2 linked regions of the Lytechinus pictus genome follow. Each later gene encodes a partner of the first gene's protein in a complex. Links are inferred from orthologs where the notes say so. Each region holds a gene or a part of one and is shown in the gene's direction. Other genes may lie near its edges.

Region 1 (7,164 bases):
AATGTATTTATTTGGCTACTTGGTAACAATGCAACAGTGTCTTGTTGCATAAAAAGTTACTATTATGGTACCATTCAATGGGAACTTTGCTGAAATCCTTGATTTTGATTGGCTGTTGATCAGCGTCATCATGGTAATTACCATTGGATGGTAACTTTCATGCAACGGGACCCAGGTAGTGAATGTAATAGTGCGTTATTATTCAAGTGAGACGATATCAGAAGACTAAGCTTCTCAGAATGTTGCAGTGTGGGTAAACTTTAAAGCATTGATTTGAGTAGTTGAGGACTTGATGTGGCGCTATACAAGCATGCTGGTTTGAACTGGCTTTAATATAATAATATAATTTTGCATTGCTAAGAATGGAATATACTGTATATATGTATTTTTTTCTTTTGAAAAGATAGGTAGTAAACCTATGGCAGCTGTGTTTAATGGCTTTGCTGAAAAAAATGAAACTTTACGAATAACAGGGTTTCATTATACATCTATCCTCAATAATAATGATGATAATAATAATAATAGGCATTTAAATAGCGCCAGCTATCTACAAATAATCTGTTCCGGGGTGCATTATGTATAATTATTATTACCCCCAGCTTTAGCTTGAGCTGCCTTTCAGCGCTCAGTACATTCAAGGTATTGATTCTACTGGGTGCCCAGTCACCTCACCTGGGTTGAGTGCAGCACAATGAGGGCAAATTTCTTGCTGAAAGAAAACACACCTTGATTGGGATTCGAACCCACGTCCCTCAGATTGAAAGACGAGATTCGTAACCACTAGAGTACCACGCCCCCACATCTTCCATTCTTTCACTACAGCTCCTTGATTTACATGCATTCTTCATTAAATGATAGAAGGATGTATTAGGTAATGTATCAGAAAAAAATCAAAGTGAAAAGAATACTGATATATATCACAACTCTTTAAAGGTGAAACATATGTCCACATAATTTGGAAAATGCTAGGTTAAACAAGTTAAAGTATCCTCAATAACAGGTATTTTACAAGAGAGGCTAAATGCTTTAAAATGATGAACTTACCTAATGATCTCTTTAGCACTCCCATGGGCAAATGCAGGTTTGGCCACAAAGTAATGTAGAAACAGTGTGTTCAAGGGCTGTGAACAAAATAACACACACACTTCCCTAATGAAGTATCATCATGTCTTGCAGATAACTGGACATATTTCACATTTAACTTTATTATAAAAAAAAAGGATTATTGGCAAATGACTCGAAACATAATGCTTCTGTTAACCACTGGCACTTGGACATTTCACGAATATGATCATCAATTCAAAGCACATACACATTTCAGACACATTCCCAATATATATATCTAATATATAAATGGTTTCATTTCTTTGAGAAAGATCTGGATATCCATCATTCACATCATCATCAATACATGTATATAACTGTAAGCACACATAAACCAAATAGTGAAGAATTTTTTTTGTGAGATAAATTTGCTTGAAGTAGGCACTGGTATAATGAGATAAAACAGATGCTTAATGAACCATTCTACATCAGGCAATTTTGTTTTATTTTGGGGGCTACTTTTTTTAATGAATTTCTAATTCTGCAACCTTGGATTAGCTTTATTATTGCAATGAATGGAGATTTCCAAGGCTCTTTTCTGAGTTTCTAGGCCTCTTTTGAGCTTTTTGGTGGCAAAATCGCCTCAAGCCCCCGTGTAATTTTCTCCATTTTACACCACGTATGATGAACTTACTGTGCATGCTTCTGTATCATAGTATGTATTGAGCCATTGTTGCCATTCCCCGTGATCTACAGAATCCACGTTAGGATAGTCAAAGAACGCAGCATGGGCAAGGATGTCTTCTCTTTCATTGTTGAGGGTCACTGCCAGGACTGCTTTTTCACTGTATGTGAAGCAAAAATGTAATGTGAAACAAGAATGTAAGTAAATAAAGTATAATTCCTGTCTGACATCTTCACAAAATAATGAAATATGTGAATGCAAGTTGTGTTCAGAAATTCAAATGTATACAAGATTTCATTCATTTTGTTCCATTTTCTCTCAGATTATTCCCATTCTTTTCAAGGCCATGAAATTTTACACCATATTTTATAATTTCTTTTATTTTAATGGACTTCAGGTACTGGTACATGTACAAGATAACACATTCAAAGCTTGGTCTGTTGAAGACTATTATGGAGCAATAGATCAATGAGCTCAATGATCGGATATTTTACTGTACATATAATAGGTAGTAGTAAACAGATAATTGTCTTTCTGTAGAATTCTTTATCAACATTGACATTCTCAGACTTTCCCCATCAAGGCTATCAGTTTCAATATTGATATTGATTCCCAAGAAAAGCCATGACTGATGATATTTCTTAGTTATTGTGTGTGGCTTCTAATAAAACCCAATGCATTGTAATAAAGCTTTATTCCTTGTAGCACTTTGAGTGTCAGCACCTTGGAAGAAAGTAAACAAACATGTAAACCTACCGATCGAAACTGAATGAACAAAATAAAAAAATCACTGAATTTATTTAACATGATACAATGTGATAGCACTATACAAAAACATACATCATCATTGTTATTATTTTTATTATTACATTCATAAATGTGAAATGCTTACATGATATTCACAACATCCACCAATCCGAACTGTGGCTGAGTTGATTTGGTAACCAGCTTCAGGATATTTGGAGCATCAAGTGATTCTGTTCGTCTAGCATTGATCACTTCGGTCGGTCCATCTGCTGACTGGACAACAGTAGCCATTTTTACTTTTTCCTGCAAGACTAAAGAGATTCAGATTGATTACCAGGTGATAGCTGTGTAGGCCTATTCTATGTGTCACTGAGAAAGGAACATAAGTCTTAGAAATAATTCTAGTCTATTATGAGAATGAGGAAACCCATCGTTATTTTTAGTGAACACACGTTGTCCACAGCTTCAAGAATTTACTAACAAAAAAAGTTAAATATTAGAGATACGAACGAGTGAAATTAAACTTCGATGCTGACCCACCGAAACAGGGCATGATCACGCCAACCAAGTCAAAGAACATAATTTGGATCTGAATAAATATAACATCGACTCCGACATGAGCTGCTTACGTACTGGATCATGATGGATGCTACTTCAGGCGATAGTTCGTATATAGGCTCCACTACGCTTCACTAGCTACTGCTACCCTCCGCTATATTACCTGAAGGTTCAGGTACATGTAACTGTTAGGTGTAGCGGAGGGTAGCGGTAGTGAAGACTGAAGTGCAACTTAGTGGAGCCTACACGAACCATCGCCCGAGGTAGATCTAGACAGTTGACGGTTGACGGCTGACGGATGCCAATGTTTTTTGCCAATATTGGCCAAATTGGGGGATTTTTTTTTTTTGAAAAGAACTTTCTCAACATTAAAGTTTAACTGATGATAATTTCATGATTTTGAACCTCCCCTCCCGGCTCCCCTGCCCCGCCCCCAGTCGCTCTTCTTGACCGGTTTAAGGGATCTTAACTTGGTTGAGCTCTGCGGCCTTCTCAAGTTAGGTCCTTGGCCTGGGTGGGAGTCGCACGATCACGACACTCCAATGGCATAGACAGTCCAGACACCAGCAGCGGCGGGAAGCAAGCACACGCGCGGTCACGGGCCCCGACTGGCACTCTCTGAGACTGTCGACGCGACGTCCACGGTCGGTTAATTCAAACATTCCATTCTTTCACAAGGTTTTTATTCACATTTATTAATATTCAAAATCACGCATACACAAACAGAAATCAATACACAAGGACATTATATTGAATTCATTATATGAAATAACATACACACCCTTATTCTTAACTTCTACAAAATTGTGTTCGATCCGTGAAAAAAAATTAAAGGGTGAGATCTAGCATATTTTTAGCGGCGGTAGCTCTATGGCAACAAAACTCTTAATTATGTGACTAAAAAAATACAACTACATATTTAAAAAATAATAAAATCTTGTACAAAAAATTAAATTTATCTTTTTTAATATTTTTATGGCTACGATTTAGAGGTTATGAATGCATGTAAGAGTTATGAATATTTTAATACCTTTTTAGTTTTTTATTTACTCGAACAAGCCATATTTCAAAGCGCCATCTCCGTCTAACTGCTTTTTGTAGATTCGCTTCCGAGGAAAAAAAACTGAAAAAACTTGAAACTAATCGACGATTTTCATGGTCTTGACGCTCATACTATCATAAACATGGCTTCTTCTAGCAAAAGTAAAGTTCCCAAAGTTGCGAAGGTAAGTTTCCTTTAAATTGCTTCATTCAATAATAACTAAATAATTGATTGCAATTTCTCCAAAAAATATAACACGCTATGAATGTGAACAAAGATCAGTTGTTATTCCGGTCAGGATAAAGTTAGGGTAAACTCGTATCGTCATTGATGTTTTTCTTTAATTTACATGTAACGTTAGAGTAAAGTGGCCAACAACAAAAAATAATTGAATCAAATAAAAATCGTGTTTATTTCCTTAGTATAAATGTTGAATATTTCCATTAAAAAATAAAAATGCAAATTGAAAAAATGATGATGGTTAACAGAATTGCATAATTATTTAGGATGGGGTAGCCAGGCGGCTTCAAAGTTAGAGAGTAAAAATCATTTACTAACGTAAGGTCACTCTCGTACGAAGCCAGGCCTTCTATCCCATAGACCCACACAATGGAAGCCAAAACCTGAAACTTTCACCCCCGAGATTTCTACTTTCCTTCTAAAAGATCTAGCCTTCTAGGCCTAGCTCTAATTCTAAATCATGTATGATGGGGGGACCTAAAAGCTACGCACTTTGTTTTCAAACAATAAAAACTATCCCAATTTTAATATTTCAACAAATATCTTTCACTAATTTGTGGCAAACATTCTAAAGATCATTAACCAAGAAGAAAATATCGCAAAACTCACTAATACGAAAATCCCGCCGTGTTTTCCGAACCGGTATTTTATAGATGGCAAATATAGCGATCTTCAACGCTTATATATAAGCGTCGAAATTTGTAGCCATCTCCTTGTATTAGTCTATATTATACGACGTGTCAAATTGTAGCGAACTAGTTCGCTATTTCCAGATCTCCTCTATATATATATACACGACGGGAAATTGTAGCGTGTAGCGAACTAGTTCGCTATTTTCCAGATCTCCTGTATATACATACGATGGGAAATTGTAGCGAACTAGTTCGCTATTTTCCAGATCTCCTCTATATATATATACACGACGGGAAATTGTAGCGAACTAGTTCGCTATTTTCCAGATCTCCTATATATACATACGATGGGAAATTGTAGCGAACTAGTTCGCTATTTTCCAGATCTCCTCTTAACGACGGGAAATTGTAGCGAACTAGTTCGCTATTTTCCAGATCTCCTCTATATACATACGATGGGAAATTGTAGCGAACTAGTTCGCTATTTTCCAATTCTCCTCTATGTATACGATGGGAAATTGTAGCGAACTAGTTCGCTATTTTCCAGATCTCCTCTATATATATATACACGACGGGAAATTGTAGCGAACTAGTTCGCTATTTTCCAGATCTCCTGTATATACATACGATGGGAAATTGTAGCGAACTAGTTCGCTATTTTCCAGATCTCCTCTTAACGACGGGAAATTGTAGCGAACTAGTTCGCTATTTTCCAGATCTCCTCTATATACATACGATGGGAAATTGTAGCGAACTAGTTCGCTATTTTCCAGATCTCCTCTATATACATACGACGGGAAATTGTAGCGAACTAGTTCGCTACAATTTCCCGTCGTGTATATATATATAGAGGAGATCTGGAAAATAGCGAACTAGTTCGCTACAATTTCCCATCGTATACATAGAGGAGAATTGGAAAATAGCGAACTAGTTCGCTACAATTTCCCATCGTATGTATATAGAGGAGATCTGGAAAATAGCGAACTAGTTCGCTACAATTTCCCGTCGTTAAGAGGAGATCTGGAAAATAGCGAACTAGTTCGCTACAATTTCCCATCGTATGTATATATAGGAGATCTGGAAAATAGCGAACTAGTTCGCTACAATTTCCCGTCGTGTATATATATATACAGGAGATCTGGAAAATAGCGAACTAGTTCGCTACAATTTCCCATCGTATGTATATACAGGAGATCTGGAAAATAGCGAACTAGTTCGCTACAATTTCCCGTCGTGTATATATATATATAGAGGAGATCTGGAAATAGCGAACTAGTTCGCTACAATTTCCCGTCGTATGTATATAGAGGAGATCTGGAAAATAGCGAACTAGTTCGCTACAATTTCCCGTCGTGTATATATATATAGAGGAGATCTGGAAATAGCGAACTAGTTCGCTACAATTTGACACGTCGTATAATATAGACTAATACAAGGAGATGGCTACAAATTTCGACGCTTATATATAAGCGTTTAAGATCGCTATATTTGCCATCTTATAATTTCCCTTTCCGAACACCTTGATTTCGCCACCCGATGTAGAAGGGGTCCTAAAGCTACGCACTCGATTTATCATGCAAAAAAATAGTATTTCCTGTGCCTCAATTTCTAGAATATATTCATAATATTTTAGGATAAAATGAAATTTAAGTGAATATAACTCTAAAATTCCAAAAAGTTTTTGGTTTTCTCTGCATTTAGAGATTTACTGCAGCCTCTGTAGAAGAAAATGAATAGGAATCGTTCGTCACACTGCAGTCACAGTTCCACACACAGAGTGCGCATTTGCCATTAAAAACTGCATGCGCGATTAGTGGTGCATAGCTTTAGGACCCGCGTAGCTTTAGGACCCCCTACCATACATTGGATAAAACTTCATTTCCGACATTTCTACACTCTCGTTGTTATTTTTAAAACAAGAATTCATCAAAAAAATGAAAAAATATTGTGAAAAGACGGAAGAGACTTGCCCGATGTTTACGCCGCCATCTTGTTTCTTATTGTACTTCCCCAACGTTACGCGACGCTCGCGTCCGTAACGTTGGGGAAGTACAAATTTTACTGCACACAGCAAAATTTTTTGCCCTTTTCACCGCATTCACAACACCCAAAAATGGTCATGGTTTTGAGAGAAAAATCAAAGTTCAACGCATTTCTGACATATGATCCCGTTATCCAAATTAGATGATTTTGGTAGGGTGTCTGAAGCCATACTG
Region 2 (7,392 bases), on another chromosome or scaffold:
TTCATTCAAATGTATTGATACTGATTGGGAAATGACACTTTTCTTTTAACCGGTTTTGAATGCACTTCTTTGAACCCCAGTCGGTTTTCATAATCACAATATTTTCAAATTGTATATGCATATCTTTAAACTTTAAAGGTATGCATTAAATTTGAATATATTTGAAGCAAATGTTGTTTTTGACAACCTGAAAGTTTGTCCAAGGCTTGTCTGACATAGCAACAAATAATACATGCAAACTGTCTTCTAACAGGAGATGTTTGAACATATTTAAAGCAAAGTTTGTTGGCTTTTTTAATGTTAATGTGGCCAGTAATGATATCATCATAAGCAAGATAAATTAATTTCGCCCTTAAAAAAAAAATTATCGACCATGTTGTTTCATCATGACTTTATTCAAGTTCAAAGACACTGATATACAATATATACATAAAGAGACCAGGTCCATCGTTTCCATTCCAAACAAATGGCAGGTCAGTACATGGATTACAAGACAAGTAATACGTATATATACCAATATAGATAATTATTTAGAGTAACATAAATGCAGGAAAATAATTAGTTAAAGCTGTCGTTGATATCACGTTGGAAAAAAAAACACTCAATCAGTCTTCTAAATCAGAGCTGGATATATAAATGGAATTAATCAACTACTGCATACAACCTGAAATGTACAGACAACATTACGAGAGGTGTTTTGTACCCAATTTCCACTACGGTATCTTCTTAATTATTATCATTATATATACGGCTGTGATCATTATATGTTTTTGTGTATTCAAATCAACTTAATTAGCTACTGACACAGAAAAGGTTTATGGTCATAAATTAAGGCTGATGAATTTGGAGATGACACCCCCTATAGTTCTAGGAGAAGAAGAAGACGAAGAAGAAGAAAAAGAAAGAGAAGAAGAAGAAGAAGAAGAAGAAAAAGAAGAAGAAAGAATTCGTACTCAATAATATCATCGTGCATATAGGCTTTATATATTGGGCAACATTATTTTTGCAGCCCTATTTCCCAGTCTTCGTTTTTTTGTCTCCTAGTTCATGTTATCAATTCGTCATCATACTCTATTGATAAATGATAGGGGCGTCTATCCATTTTTCAGAGGGGGGGGGGCAAAATCATGAATCAACGTTCCAAAGGCGCTCGATCACATAAAACAAACAAACTCACCCACACACCCACACACACGCACACATAGTTCTATATATATATGTGTATATATATATATGACTCATGAGAAAGACTGGGCGCTGTGGCCTGCGCCTGTAATCCAAGCTATGTGGGGGAAATTACAATTGTTACAGAGTTTCGAGGTTCGAGCCCTGGTCACGTCTTTCGGATGGTGACGTTAAAGGTCAGTCTCAGACGTAGATAATCATTTCTGATTGATACACGTCTGGAAAAATCAAACACACACACATCATGAGAAAGAGACACATATCTCACAAACAAATTTATGCGAGCGCAAAGCGCGAGCTGAATTTTTTTAGTATACTGACCTGAAAACAGGAAAAAAAGTACCTGTTTAGGACTGTTTGTAGTAACTCATGAGGAGGATACAATCTCACTACACAGATAATGCGAGAGCCGAGAGCGAGGTGAAATTTTGTTATATTCTGACATGAAAACTTGATATTATAAGCATTTTGGTACCAATGATTAAGATGAATACCTAAAAGAACAATAGATGCGAGCTGAAATTTTTTATATGCCAATCTGAAAAGTGGACATTTTGAGCACGATTTTAAATAAAGAACGAGTTGTCTATTTCAATCTCGCCTGCCGATTTCTGTGTAACATTACAATCTCATTTTATTTTTGAAAATCCGGAATTATTGGGGGGGGGGCAAAATGATTTATGTTCCCCCCTCCCAATATTTTTATTGGTGGGGCGATCGCCCCCCCCCCCCAGGATCGACGCCTCTGATAATTGATATCATTACATAAATATATTGCAACATAATCCATTACCTTATAATCCAGTAAAATAGGGGAGATTGGGGTTAGTTGGAACGCGGGGTAAGTTGAAACATTTTAATTTTCTTTAACGCCTTTAAATAAATTTATGCAATACTGCCCTCAATTTATTGCCATTATCAACAACCATCCACCATATTACAGACAACACATGTGCAACAAGCCTGGTGAAGTTAAAAAGGAATTTTAGTTTTTATCACCTGAGTATTTTTTTTTCTTTCAGAAATGTTTTATTATCTCAGAGAAGTTTATAGATCAAGTTGGCCAGTTTGGGGGTGTAACAGACACTTGAACCAAGCTACAAAATAAGGTTATTAAAGGTCAATCCACCTTAGGAAAATGCCGACTTGAATAAATAAAGAAAAATCAAACTAGAATAGTGCTGAAAATTTCATCAAAATCGGATGTAATATAAGAAAGCTATGACATTTTAAAGCTTCGCTTATTTTTCACAAAACGGTGAAATGCACAACTAGGTGAGTCAGTCGATGATGTCCATCACTCACTATTTCTTTTGTTTTTTATTGTTTGAATTATACAATATTTTATTTTTTATAGATTTGACAATAAGGACCAACTTGACTGAACCATATAGTATTGACTATTGAACAATGCTATTTCCATATGTTCAGGGAGAAATTAATCGATGTATCACTTGACAATGAGGAGAAAATTAGAATATTTCATATTTCATAGAATAAAATACAAAAGAAATAGTGAGTGGATGACGCCATAGTCTCCTCATTTGCATACCAGCCAGGATGTGCATATAACTGTTTTGTGAAATTAAGCGAAAAAATGTCATAACTTTCTTATTTTACATCCAATTTTGATGAAATTTTCAAATCAACTTTTTGTTGGGGTGGACGGTGGACTTGTCCTTTAATATGCCACGGTGAAGTCCTTTTTTGTGCTGTAAGCTTATAATTGTCAAATGGGCCTCTGGGGTTTGTGGGAACAAAATTGAAAGGGCTATTTGGAACATGTTCCAACTTACCATAAAACATAATTATGAATAAAAACATTGGATATAAAAAATGTATACAGCATTTCACACTCTTCTGAACATTGTATCGAAAGCCATGCTTATTTAGGTCTGAGTGTGCATTTAAGGCCTCTTGTAGGCCCCTAATGCAAAATTAACCCTTATCAAACTGGGGGGGGGGAGCGGTCGGTCAATTTGAGCCCCCCTCGCCAAATTTTGTCACTACGCCGTCGCGCGAACTTTTTTGACCGCACCGCTCACTGACTTTTTAATGTCAAGTCTTGTGAATCATTTGAGACCAATTTGCGATGCCCGGGTGCCCGGTTCTGAAATTACGCAACATTTTGTTAGTGCATGTCGGACCCAGAATTGCTCAAAAACGTGATTAAAAAAATCATAAATGTATGATTACTTTTACTTTTGTCGGTTCAAATGGATTTATTTCATGCTATTTATGATCGCAAAAAGGTCCCTGACAAACTGAAGTTCATCGGAAAAAACAATAAAAAACAGAGGTTCGAAAAAACAAAATTAATACAAATTAAAAATACAAAAAATACATAAGAAATTATATTTTTTGCAATTTTTTTGTAGATATTTGTTATAAATGTAAAAAAAATGTAAAAATTAGTATTTTACATGTACCAGATAAATAAATTCAGTTAAAGGAAAAAACATTTTTTTTAAATTAGGGCAAATTTCATACCTGCATATTTGCATAATTAATTAATTAGAAAATATTACCAATTAATTTTGTCATGTAAATTTGATGCAGAAGTACATGAAATTGCTGATACACTTTATTGCATGTAAAATCAAACGCACACAAATACGCGAAATTCTACTACACTGACATTCGGCTTGCGTGAGTGGCTGTATAATAGAAAACATAAAGTTCAACAAATCAGAATACACACTTTTAATATTTTGAACTTGAAAAAAACAAAGTGATTAGGCTAGAACCATGTAATATTACAGTTGTAAGTAGTTTTAGTATAATTCTTAATTGACCATGCAGTGTTCCAACTGAACTTACCCCATACCATGTTCCAACTTACCACGTATATGGGGTAAGTTGGAACTTGCGATGGTCTTGTTCAAAATAGATTTTTTTTTTTTTTTAGTAACCATCACAGAGTTAAAAAAATTATGGGGTACATTTTATTTTGAAGCCCTTAGATATGTGCTTTAAGCTGATATATTGATTGTTTCTCGAATAAAATCTATTTAGATTTTACAGTCATTTTTGTCATAAATGTTCCAACTAATCCCAATCTCCCCTAAAGTCATTATTTGGGGGAGGGAGGGGGCGAGAATCGCGTTACCCTCTCTCTCTCGCTTCAGTTCCTCCGTTGTTCGGAGATCGGCAGGTATATCACTGCAAAAGTTGAGTCAATGAGTCTGGTAAATGTCAAGTCGACAGGGATTGAAATACTAGTACCGTAACTTTTTTCTCCTTCAATTTTTTCCATCTACTTCACCATATCAGAGAGACGGTGGACGACTCAATTTCGAAAATGGAATCTGACGAAGGGGAGAAGAAGAAAGGATTTTCCTTTTCCTTTGCCAAGAAGAAACAAGAAACGAAAACTCTAGAATCTAAAAATATCGGTGAGGCTGAAATTTTGGAAAATAAGACCGAAACGGACTACATTTTATCAGTAGACTCAAAGAAAGTAACAAGGTACGTTCACCAGCCTCAGTTTCAGTTCGTCAGCGGCTCGCCTCAGGCTCAGCGTGGACTTCTGCCGGAACCCACCCGGCGATATTCCAGGCATGAGAGGCTCCGCCACCTCAGTACCGCTTCGCAGGATTTATAATTGAAAATTTTAGATTATGCTCGCAATATTTTTGATATAGGAACCTAGTGCCTAGAAGGCCCTAGATCTATGTCTAGCTGGTCATATTTCCGAATCAATATAACAGTAGAATTTTAAGTAGGCCTAGGCCCCTAATCAGTTTTTGCTTTTTTGGCATGTTTGGAATTGGAGACTCATTTGAAAAAACAACAACAACAACAACAACAACAAAAAATTGAACAACAAGGCACAGGCCGACAGAAGGGGGGGGGGGGAGTGGGGCCACTTCCATTGACAAGCGGATACCATGCGCGACCATGGGGTCTCGAAAAGCACCCTAATCACGTATTTTCCATATTCTGAAAATGCACCCCTCAACAAGTATTGGCGTGTGAAACCCTAACCTTACATGCCTTGGCATTTGAAACAAAACGATACTATTGGCAAGTATTCCCTGAATTGAACCCCTAAACAAGTACAGCGATATTTCAAAATATTACATCACGGACATCGATTTTACCTATATCATTAGGTTTAGTACAGCCCCACCTCCCACACCTCATGCAAATCGTACTCTTGGGGAAAATAGTATATTCTTTATAAAACATTTTAGTCTTAATTTTTTATGGGGCGTCGTGGTCTAGTGGTTACGAAGCTCGTCTTTCAATGAGAGGGACGTGGGTTCGAATCTCAGCCACGGCGTGTTTTCCTTCAGCAAGAAATTTATCCACATTGTGCTGCACTCAACCCAGGTGAGGTGAATGGGTACCCAGCAGGATTAATTCCTTGAATGCACCAAGCGCCTTTAGCAGCTGGAGCTACAGCTGGGGTAATATATAGTGCGCCATTGAATAGGAAACTAGATAAATCGGCACCTCATAAATGCTCTATATTATTATACCCTCGCAAATTTGACCCTAAACTCGTAGCTTTCTTAGCGAAAACAAATACCTTTTTGTCTCACCTGCATAGCAGAGTGAGACTATAGGCGCCGCTTTTCCGACGGCGACGGCGGCGTCAACACCAAATCTTAACCTGAGGTTAAGTTTTTGAAATGACAGCATAACTTAGAAAGTATATGGACCTAGTTCATGAAACTTGGCCATAAGGTTTATCAAGTATTACTGAACATCCTGCCTGAGTTTCATGTCACATGACCAAGGTCAAAGGTCATTTACGGTCAATGAACTTAGACCATGTTGGGGGAATCAACATCAAAATCTTAACCTAAGGTTAAGTTTTTGAAATGTCATCATAACTTAGAAAATATATGGACCTAGTTCATGAAACTTATACATAAGGTTAATCAAGTATCACTAAACATCCTGCATGAGTTTCACGTCACATGACCAAGGTCAAAGGTCATTTAGGGTCAATGAACTTTGGCCGAATTGGGGGTATCTGTTGAATTACCATCATAACTTTGAAAGTTTATGGATCTGATTCATGAAACTTGGACATAATAGTAATCAAGTATTACTGAACATCCTGTGCAAGTTTCAGGTCACATGATCAAGGTCAAAGGTCATTTAGGGTCAATGAACTTTGGCCAAATTGGGGTATTTGTTGAATTACAGCCATAAATTTGAAAGTGTGTTGTTCTAGTTCATAAAACTTGGACATAATAGTAATCAAGTATCACTGAACATCCTGTGCGAGTTTCAGGTCACATGATCAAGGTCAAAGGTCATGTAAGGTCAAAGAACTTTGGCCACGTTGGGGGTATTTGTTGAATTGCCATCATATCTCTATAAGTGTATTGGTCTAGTTCATAAAACGTGGAAATAAGAGTAACCAAGTATCACTGAACATCTTGTGCGAGTTATAGTAGTTTTCAAAATCAGCACTGCTGCTATATTGAATCGCGTGATGCAGGTGAGACGGCCAGAGGCATTCCACTTGTTTCATTATTTTAGTGTTTTTGACACCCTTATTACTTGAAAAAGACATCCTTTTTATGTGTTTTTTTTTTGGTCGTGCATGGATCCACTCGACAATGTAATTGGCCTCCCTGGGGAACAAGGTTATGATATAACATTTCTCTGTTACTACTCCCTGTGTGGTGAAATAAGGTTGGCAATGTTTGGCTTATTTTCTCTTTTTTTCTTTGGAACAAATGCTTGATTTTTTGACACTGTCAGTTTCCATTACAGCTATTCATCATATAACTTTGCTCTAAAGTAAATCTGATTCTTAAAATTATTTTTTCTCAATTAAAAATAGAGATTGAAAAATGACAATTGTCTTGTCACATTTGTTTCCACCAATATAGGGCGTACACAAAAATATGCCAAAAATTCAAGTTTTCGAGCGCTCTGGTGAATACAAAAATTACTCCCAAGTTACTAATGAAAAATAAATTGTATGGAAATTAGTATTTTTGGTCACAAAAGAGATATTTTAATGATTTTTTAAATTGTGTGCTGTGTACAGCATTGGCATACCATAGTCTTAAACTGTAGATTCCCCACAGGCAGGATGGTAATGAACCCTTGAGTGGTTTGGAGTTTGCTCAAGCCAAGAATCGTGGCAAGCCTCAAAGTCAAGGCAAGCTGGAGCTTTATTTAAGTTTAAGGCTCCATCCCAGCAGTAAAAATTCATTTTTGAGGGCTTACGTAAGCATA

Evidence for each region.
Region 2: crooked neck-like protein 1 (region 1) and G-patch domain and KOW motifs-containing protein-like share a complex: the UniProt entries of both Homo sapiens proteins name them as parts of the minor spliceosome. The link is inferred for Lytechinus pictus from reciprocal best matches to the Homo sapiens genes CRNKL1 and GPKOW.

The regions. Positions count from the first base shown.
Region 1 is NC_087251.1:43,100,243-43,107,406, reverse strand, and holds the start of crooked neck-like protein 1, read left to right. Parts: upstream 1-4,082; 5' UTR 4,083-4,218; coding exon 4,219-4,260; intron 4,261-7,164. Other genes in the region: cilia- and flagella-associated protein 61-like, read right to left, coding at 1,045-1,121, 1,739-1,889, 2,622-2,767. UniProt on the Homo sapiens protein: Involved in pre-mRNA splicing process. As a component of the minor spliceosome, involved in the splicing of U12-type introns in pre-mRNAs.
Region 2 is NC_087247.1:30,698,750-30,706,141, forward strand, and holds the start of G-patch domain and KOW motifs-containing protein-like, read left to right. Parts: upstream 1-4,359; 5' UTR 4,360-4,486; coding exon 4,487-4,653; intron 4,654-7,392. UniProt on the Homo sapiens protein: RNA-binding protein involved in pre-mRNA splicing. As a component of the minor spliceosome, involved in the splicing of U12-type introns in pre-mRNAs.